Linked DNA regions of Nothobranchius furzeri. The protein of the gene in region 1 purifies or fractionates together with the protein of each later gene. This does not show direct contact. Links are inferred from orthologs where the notes say so. Each region holds a gene or a part of one and is shown on either strand. Other genes may lie near its edges.

Evidence for each region.
Region 2: the proteins of cct8 (region 1) and pdcl3 purify together in Homo sapiens (affinity purification with mass spectrometry; 3 studies listed by BioGRID and IntAct, with this or other methods). This does not show direct contact. The link is inferred for Nothobranchius furzeri from reciprocal best matches to the Homo sapiens genes CCT8 and PDCL3.

Annotation. Positions count from the first base shown.
Region 1 is NC_091750.1:65,567,490-65,571,928, forward strand, and holds the start of cct8 (T-complex protein 1 subunit theta), read left to right. Parts: upstream 1-1,367; 5' UTR 1,368-1,446; coding exon 1,447-1,506; intron 1,507-2,053; coding exon 2,054-2,144; intron 2,145-2,231; coding exon 2,232-2,311; intron 2,312-2,418; coding exon 2,419-2,568; intron 2,569-2,699; coding exon 2,700-2,880; intron 2,881-2,971; coding exon 2,972-3,033; intron 3,034-3,107; coding exon 3,108-3,245; intron 3,246-4,439. Other genes in the region: protein PIMREG, read left to right, coding at 56-218. UniProt on the Homo sapiens protein: Component of the chaperonin-containing T-complex (TRiC), a molecular chaperone complex that assists the folding of actin, tubulin and other proteins upon ATP hydrolysis.
Region 2 is NC_091754.1:32,212,292-32,216,859, reverse strand, and holds the start of pdcl3 (phosducin-like protein 3), read right to left. Parts: upstream 3,006-4,568; 5' UTR 2,892-3,005; coding exon 2,886-2,891; intron 2,225-2,885; coding exon 2,104-2,224; intron 1,922-2,103; coding exon 1,831-1,921; intron 870-1,830; coding exon 726-869; intron 589-725; coding exon 380-588; intron 191-379; coding exon 48-190; 3' UTR 1-47. UniProt on the Homo sapiens protein: Acts as a chaperone for the angiogenic VEGF receptor KDR/VEGFR2, increasing its abundance by inhibiting its ubiquitination and degradation.

The DNA.
Region 1 (4,439 bases):
TTGCATTTCTGTTATTCACTTTTAAATATTCTGCTTTCTGCGTTTGTCCTCCCAGCAGACCCAGTCTAAAGAAACGCTCTGCAGGGGCGGTGATGAGGAAGTTGGACCCCAGCGGTAAACTCTGTCGCTCTAACCTCTCGCGTCGAGCGTCACGCCTCTCAAACACACTGGGGGGGTGGGTCAACACGGCTGCGAGTACTGCTTGCAAACCCAACTGAACTACATTTATGTGTGACTGTGAAAGTTGTCTTTTTACATGTATTATTGTGGCGTCACTGTTCTGTTACATTTACATGTAGATTTGTTTTGATACTGGGAGACTTTTCTATACCTAGCTGCCTTTTTTCTGTTTTTATATTAATTTGTGTGAATTTTCAGTGTTTACATGTTTCAAGTTGGCTAGATATGAGTTAAAAGTCCTCATTTTTAGCTGACACAGGACCTTGAGAGATGTTGTCTGACAAAATGTCTCATTTTTCCTTTTTTTTTTTGACGTAGTTGCATTTCATAAAACTTGTTTTTAAAATAAACCAAATCTAGTTAAAGCACTAACACTAAATGTACTGACACTGGACAGCAAATCTGTCCCATATATGTATGCAATTATCCTAACATTTTGGTGCCTTTTTTATAAAATGTGTTTAAACCAAGCATATAGTGTTATTTTTATATAAAGATTAAGCAGTGGTTAATTGGGAGCTTTTTTCTCCATCGGTTGGTAATGTGAGTGGTTTATGTGCTAATACAGTACACATAAATCATCCGTTAATGTGATGGGGGAGAAGTTAAAGGCTCATTACCAGACGATGGCAGTGAGGATTATGTCATGAAGAGAAATCCAGTGAGTCGTTTGCATAGTGACTGCCTCAAATGAAGCAAAACATTTCCCCCATCTTATTTTTTCTGTGTGAATGGAAGAGGAGAAAAGCTGTCTAAATGTGAATGTGTCCAAACAATAAAATCTGTACAAATCCAGAAACAAGTCTTCACCCTATGAGTTTGACATCACGTTGATGGGTTGTAAATTTTTACATGTATTGTTTTTATTAAAAGTAGCTAAACATTACATGGTGAGTGTTACTCTTCTGCCGCACAGTAACCCCAAAACAAGATCGCTACATATATTTAGGTTATAAGTAATATTTTAAAATGACCTGTAATTTCAGTGCATGTAAGAATTGTTACTTTGACTTCTTGATTAAACATTTGCAATAATTTTACGCCATTGGTCTAATGTCGATGACATGTGCACCTTCAAGTGGAAAATCTTAAACTTGGTTTATGCGGTTTATGCTCAATCAGCCCAGCTGAAACGACAACCGTTCGGTTTGTCCCTTGTTGTTACCCGTATCTGGCTCCGCCTCCTCCTCTCCGGCTTTGTACCCCGAGCAGAAAGCACGCTGCGGTTAGCTTCTTTAACTTACCGGGGCTGCTAATCATCAGAAAATGGCTCTTCACGTCCCAAAACCTCCGGGCTTTGCCCAAATGTTAAAGGATGGTGCTAAGGTGGGTTCAAGTGACCGTGTTTATGCGGTAGAATAGGTTTGAGTGGGTGTTTGTGATTTAGCTTGCGAGCTAATGTTAGCATGTACATTCACAGTCATGTGGGAGACTTCTAGAAAGAGCCAGGCCGGTCCAAGTAACTGGTTGGGTTTGCCGTTGAAATAATGGGTCTGATTATTTTGTATTGTTTACGGTTCTTATTTGGGACGTTTTCATGTTTGCACATACACCTGCCTAAACGTTAAAATGATGCTGCAGTAGTTAGGTTGTCAAACTGCAGTCACACCCAGTTAGCGTTTAGCTAATTGTCACAACTAAAGTTCAGACACTTAGTTTCTGCTCTTTAAGGGCATTTAACATGATTTTCCTTATGAGTGTTCTCACTTCTTTCTGCTCTACACCAAGTACAGACCAGCTCATATTTTCATAATAGTTCTAAGTTGCTGCAAATAACAGGTTGACCATAGCATTTATCTTTTTGAAATTAAAACGAACATTCTGCATCGTTGTAAATGTCTTATTAAATGTACTATTTTATTTTCTACTGTAGCATTTTTCGGGGCTAGAAGAAGCAGTTTTTCGTAACATAAGAGCATGCAAGGAGCTTTCTCAGACCACACGAACCGCCTACGGCCCCAATGGTAACTATGTTCCAACAAAAGTATCTAAAATCAGAAACATCTTTAAAGTTTGACTTATTTAATTAAACTGAAACTGTTGTGTCACAGGTATGAACAAGATGGTCATCAACCACCTGGAGAAGCTGTTTGTCACTAATGATGCAGCAACAATCCTCAGAGAGCTGGAGGTGAGGAGATATTTACTAAATACTTATTGTCCATCCTGTTGAAAGTAAATAAAATAATTCACAAATATGCTAATCCACTTTGTTTGGCCCCAACATTTGTTCCATAGGTGCAGCATCCAGCAGCTAAAATGATTGTGATGGCATCCCACATGCAAGAGCAGGAGGTTGGAGATGGCACCAACTTTGTGCTTGTGTTTGCTGGAGCTCTGCTGGAGCTGGCTGAGGAGCTACTCCGGATGGGCTTGTCTGTGTCAGAGGTAACTAGAATAATATGGGATGGATTTAATGTTATTTACCCTGAAAAAACATTTTCTTTAATTTTTTTTCCTCTCTTATGACGAAATGACTTAAATTTAGAATAAAGAAGTAAGTGTATCTTTTTTTCCAGGTGATTGATGGCTATGAAAAGGCTTGTAAGAAAGCTCTGGAGCTCCTTCCCGACTGCGTATGTTCCTCAGCTAAAAACCTACATGATCTAAAAGAGTCCACATCTCTCATTCGCACGGCAGTCATGAGCAAACAGTACGGGAATGAGGACTTCCTCTCCAACCTCATCGCAGAGGCCTGTGGTTAGTCAGCTCAGATGTCATCCCTACAGTAATGTAAGTTTGTTTCTTTCTGCCTTTATTTATTTTTTACCCTACTGGGTTTTTGTTTCAGTGTCCATATTCCCAGAGTCCAACAATTTCAACGTTGACAACGTCCGGGTGTGCAAGATTTTGGTGAGCTTCATTACATGTTAGCTTTATTTTTTAGTCTGCATTCTTTGTGACTAATTATTTTTTTATGTATTCAGGGTTGTGGAGTGACCAATTCTTCCATGCTTCATGGCATGGTTTTTAAGAAGGAAGCAGAGGGAGACGTCACATCTGTTAAGGATGCCAAGATTGCAGTATTCTCCTGCCCCTTCGACTGTATGGTGACAGAGACCAAGGTAACAAATGTTGTCAGGCTTAGGAGAAAGCTGAGAAATGTTGGCATTTTATTCCTCAACCCTCTGGAGTCCAGGGTGTAATTTGCCGTTTTTGACTAATTGAGAGTTTTCCTTTGTATTTCCAAAATAAAAACCATAACCACTGCCTTATGTGGCATCAGTCTTTTCAACACAACCTGGACCTTATGAATTTATACTTATTTTTTATATTTGAACACAAAGGGGTTGCATATTAGACCATAAATCACTCAAAAACATAAAATCCAAACTGGAAAAAAGTTGCTTATTTTACTGTGAAACCAACAAACATTTATGACGAATGTTTTTTTTTTTATAATTTAGAATGGTAATCTAGACTGTACATTTATAAAAAATATGAATAAATATAGCAAATAACACATAAAAAAAAAATATTAGCCCTCTGGGGTCCAGGGTGTAAATCACCATTTTTGACTCATTTTGGTTTTTCTTTTGTATTTTCTAATAAAAACAATAAATATTGCCTTATGGGGATCATTTTTTCCAGGACAACCTTGACTATCTGAATTTATACTCATTTTATTAATTTGGCAATAATGTACATGCATTTTGGAGTGGGGAGTGGCTCCGTCTCACGCCGCGGAGATCGAGATCTTACAGCTGCGCGGCGCCGCCCACTCCTCTTGTTGGATCTCCGAGGAGCTGCATCGCTGCCTTTATCCTCTACCTCATCATGACCCCACTCTTCTATGAGGAAGGATGGATCTGCCACATCCTCAACATCCTCGCTATTTGCCTCAGACTCCGGCTGCGAGTCTCCGTCCACTTCCTCTGCTTCCAGTTCAAAAAACAGCCGAACTATCTGAACTGCCTGGTGGACATTTATCCTTCTCATCATCCTTTATTAAAGCCTAATAAAAGCCGACTTAACTGCAGCGACACTATATCTGTCCGGATCGCTCCAAAATATGAAGTTTATCTAGCCTGGCAAGCCAGACTAAATAATACATTTATTTAGTCTGGCCACACTCCATTGACAGCTCTCAGTTGTGGGGCGGGTTCTACCGTTGTCTTTCAAATGATCTCTGCATTCTACTGGACAATGAATGTGACATACTCTTGTTTCACTCTGTTGCATCATCCCACCCACCAGGCATATAGAGTGCCCTGATTGGCCCACAAAGCGAATAAAGCTCTGTGATTTGTTCACTAAGC
Region 2 (4,568 bases), on another chromosome or scaffold:
TTTAACGTCTGAACGTCTCCTCGTGGAAGTCGACAGCACTCTTCTTTTTAATCGTCCTCAGAGTCGCTGTCTTCTCGCGTAGGGAGTGAACTTCTGATTGATGACATTAACTTGTCTTCGATTTGTTTCTTGGGGTTTTCTTCCAGGTCCGTCTTCACCGCTCCGGTTTCTGATAACCTCCACTCCAGCTCTGGAAGAGAAGCACAGAAACACTTAAGCTGGAGAACAAGCAGATAAACAAAAACGATCAACAGCTCGTCAGAACGGTGGTAGTCAGACACGATGTTTAAACGTTGAAATCATCTCAGGTTTCTTATTACAGGGACGAGCCTAAACAGTAACTTGGTGAGTCTGGTCTGGTTTAATAAATCAGACCTACCTTCGACTTTGAGGTTCATGCCCCCAAACACCAGAGGACCGATGAACTGGGCCTTCATCTCCCCCTCAAAGTAAACAAAGATGGTGGGCAGGTTCCGGTCGGGGTAGTTGGGGATGCAGGTGGTGGAGATGGACTTAAGAAACTTGGTCTGAGGAAACTTCCTGGCCAGCGTGTTCAGGTGTTGGTTGATGAGGGTGCACAGAGGGATGCTGGGACAGAGAGACCAGGCGGATCGGTTAGTGCTGAAATCACCACACTGATTCAGATTCAGCAGCATGTTTTCTATACATAAAGCTTTCCAGATGTTTATGTAAAACATCCAGGTCTAGCTTTGGTCTTAACTCACCCCTGCTTGTAGAGGTGCAGCACCACCCATATTCCCTCTCCAGCCTTGTTGACCTCCTTGACGTAGTCCTGTCCAGAGATTTCCCCCAGTTCTCCAAAAGCGTTCTTTATCTGAGCCGCTTTCCACTCCGCAAGACGCTTCTGTCTGGAAGGAGATGCAGCTTGCATCAGCACACAGCCACGGAGAGAGAAATGCATCAGGAATAGAAGAAATTATAAGATTCAGAATTAAAGCGTTGACTTGATTTCCTAGATGTAATCGAGTAAAAACCAACCATATGGGAAAGAGATTTTATTTTTACTGGTGGATGACGGTGGCTCAGGAGTTAAGTGCTCGCCCCGTAATCGGAAGGTTGCAGGTTTGAGCCCCGCTCAGTCTGTCGCTGTCGCTGTGTCCTTGGGCAAGATACTTAACCCACGTTGCCTGCTGGTGGTGGTCGGAGGGACCGGTGGCGCCTGTGCTCGGCAGCCTCACCTCTGTCAGTGTGCCCCAGGGCAGCTGTGGCTACATCGTAGCTCATCCCCACCAGTGTGTGAATGTGTGTGTGAATGGGTGAATGACTGATTGTGGGGTTCCAGAACTCTAGAAGGCACCATATCAGATACAGGCCATTTACTAGGGATGCACCGACATGACGTTTTTGGGCCGATATTGATTTTTACATAACTGTTATGTCTGATACCGATTTATGCTTCTGAAATCAGCAAATTTTGTATAGACTGACATTATGTAAGCCGAATTTGTGAATATTTTGCTATTTTTCTATAAAATGGAATTTGCAAGATGTTATTCACACACACACACACACACACACACACACAGTCACAGGACTAAACTAAACACATCCTCACCCTCTCAAACAGATACACAAACGGAAACAAGATGGAAAAAATTTGGGTTTTTAATGTCAGCCCCGTTTTACTTATTGGACCAATACCGATATGTTCAAAAATGACTAACATCGGCTGATACCGATATATTGTGCATCCCTAAATTTCACCAGGGTTTTGTTTTGTCAAATGTACAATAAAGTGCATCAGGCACCAAAAACCCGACAGATAGTTATTGAGTTTTGATCGCCCAGTTCTCCTGTTGAACCACTTACCTGTACATCTCAATGGCAGCTTCATCCTCCTCTCCAAACTCGTCTTCGTTCTCCTCCAGCTCATCCAGAGTCATACTCTCATATGTTTTAACTGCACAAACAGCAGACGGCCTCTAATCCACAAATAATCTTACAATTTCTGATTTTATGGGATTGAGATAAGCACAAACATAAAATAATATGACTAATGTAAAAAAGTATGTTAAAATATGAAAATACATTTAAAATCAATGTGGGTGAAACCCTTAAACAGTCATGTTGAAGCCTTCATACCGACAGATTGTTGCTGGAGGGCCAGCTCCTCCTCCTCTTCATCCTCTTTAGGAACTTCTTTGGGGGGGAGGATGCCTTTCTTCCTCAGGATATCGTTCCACTCCGTGTCTTCATTTGGGTTCTTTTGATGAAAACATAATTAATCATTCACACAACGACAAATGTAATAGAATTAATTATAACTTCTGTTTGTGTCTGTCTAACAACTATAAGCTTAAAAAACAAATCAGATGATTTAATTACTGAAAATACATTATAGCTATTGGCCATCAGTAGCCTTTAATAAAACGTGCTTCATTTTATGTAATTAAACACTTTTATTTCATCTGCAACGAAAACAATGAGGATAATGAAAGTGAGGGCCAATAATCAACAGTTAGGCACGTGGCACTTCTACTTTAATTGACATGTTTCAGGAAAAGAAGAAAAGTCCAAATGGTTTAACCAAAATCTGTGTTCAGACTCACGGACATTTATATAAGTCAGTGAACATTTAAAGCGAACTTTAGTTTGAATATTCAAAAAAGACAATTTAAACCCACGATCTGTGGGGGTTTTTGTCCAAAAGTAAAGGACGGATTAAACAAAACTTTTCACATCTCTTCGGTTTTACTTGATATTATTCTCCTGCTCAGGGATCTGATTAAACTGTTAACACGACAACGACACGCCCATTGCTACTTTGTTCAACGATAAAAACATGTACACATAATTTTCACCACCGTTGAACCGCCACTTTCGCTAACGAAAGCTGTTTAAAATCCAAACAAAACCAAACAAACCTGCATTTTGACAAATGAAAGAGTCCCTTCTAAACCACACCACTGCTCCTTTCCAAACCGGAAACAGAAGGAAGTCCGCGTGGGCAGATCCGGCAGAAACAAGAAACTGTAGATTTTATTTTAATCTACTTAGCCCGGAAATGCTGTCATTTAAATTGAATAGTATTGTGAAGCGAATAGAAATATTTTTATTTAAAATACTGTAAAGTAATCAGCGATTTCGAAACAAAAAATAAAAGAGGAATATTTAATTGTGTGGAAAGACAATAATACAAGTAACACCAACTTCCTGCGAGGTGCGATATGACCACATAAGGAAAGAGAGAGAAGCAATCCATTTGTAGCAGCTGGGAACGGAACCAGACAGGTGCTATTCAGGAAGGCCGGTACCGGACCCGAACCTGCCTCTCTCCGTTTTACTGAATTAAAAAAATAACATTTCACTGGGTAAAATAAAACACATCGACAATATTTGCTAATGGAAAATGTTTGCTGATAATAACAGTGTACTACATTCCCAAAGTGCAAAAACAAGTGGATTTAATTAGTGCTCGTTGTTTTCACTATTTACGAAACCAATATTACAGCTCCAAAATGAACGGGTTCTCTGTCATTTATCGAGTTTTTTCTTCAAGTTGCTCATTTATTAATTAACCACACGACATTTGAGTTGTTTCTATTAGTTGTTAAATAAATCATAACAACAATTCAGCGGAGAAAACAGGTTAGACCAAACTTGATCAGGTAAACCTTGATATTTCCTAGAACACCAGATTAGTGAAGAACGTTAACCTTCTGTTGGATAAATGTCGCCCTCGTGTGGCTGATTTAAGTTTTTACTACATGTTGGCTAAATCAGTTTCTAATGCTTGTAATGCAAAAACCAATCTTAATTAGAAATAAAAACAGCTCATTTAATTACAGAAGTATTATTTAGGGTTTACACAAACACGTGCGCGCGCACACAGATTAAAAAATGACGCCCTTTTCAAAAGTACTCTAATTCAACGAGCCTTAATGTTTTATTGATTCACATTCGAGTTTTTCCTAAATTACACTAAATTAATTTGTGTAAAAATGTTTCTAGCAAAAAGCAAAATCATTTAAACAAATTATAATTCTCTGAATATAATCTGTTTAAGGTCTCAGTTTTAATCTAATCACATACACAATGGTAGGTTATTTATTATAAATGAATTAATTTGGTTTCTTTTTGTGTGCTATTTATAACCACCACCGCATCCAATGAGGAAAGGGCAAGAAAATTTTTACCGGAACTCGTGGAAGGGAAAGTTGGTGAAGAGAGAAAATAAAAATAGGGAGGTCTCACTCTGACATTGTTTTTAAAAGCCATCACGTTTCTTTCACGCGATGTGAAGTTCAAATTTACAGTTTTCTCTGAGAAAAACTTTTATCATTCTTTTAACATTAACCATTGGTCTGTTAATTATTCATCTTTTGTTTTGTCTTCAGAAATAAAATTAATATATATAAAAAAAGAAATGCATGCTTAATCCCTTGATGGCAGCTCGCTATTTGTTATTAAATTGCATTCATACCATTGACCTAATCTCTGTATTGTATCTGGTGAAAATAAATCTAATTATGGGTTTGTTTAAAACCATCATGAGAACCAACCCAAACCACTAATAATCAATGGGTTAAACGCTATTTAGAAAACAG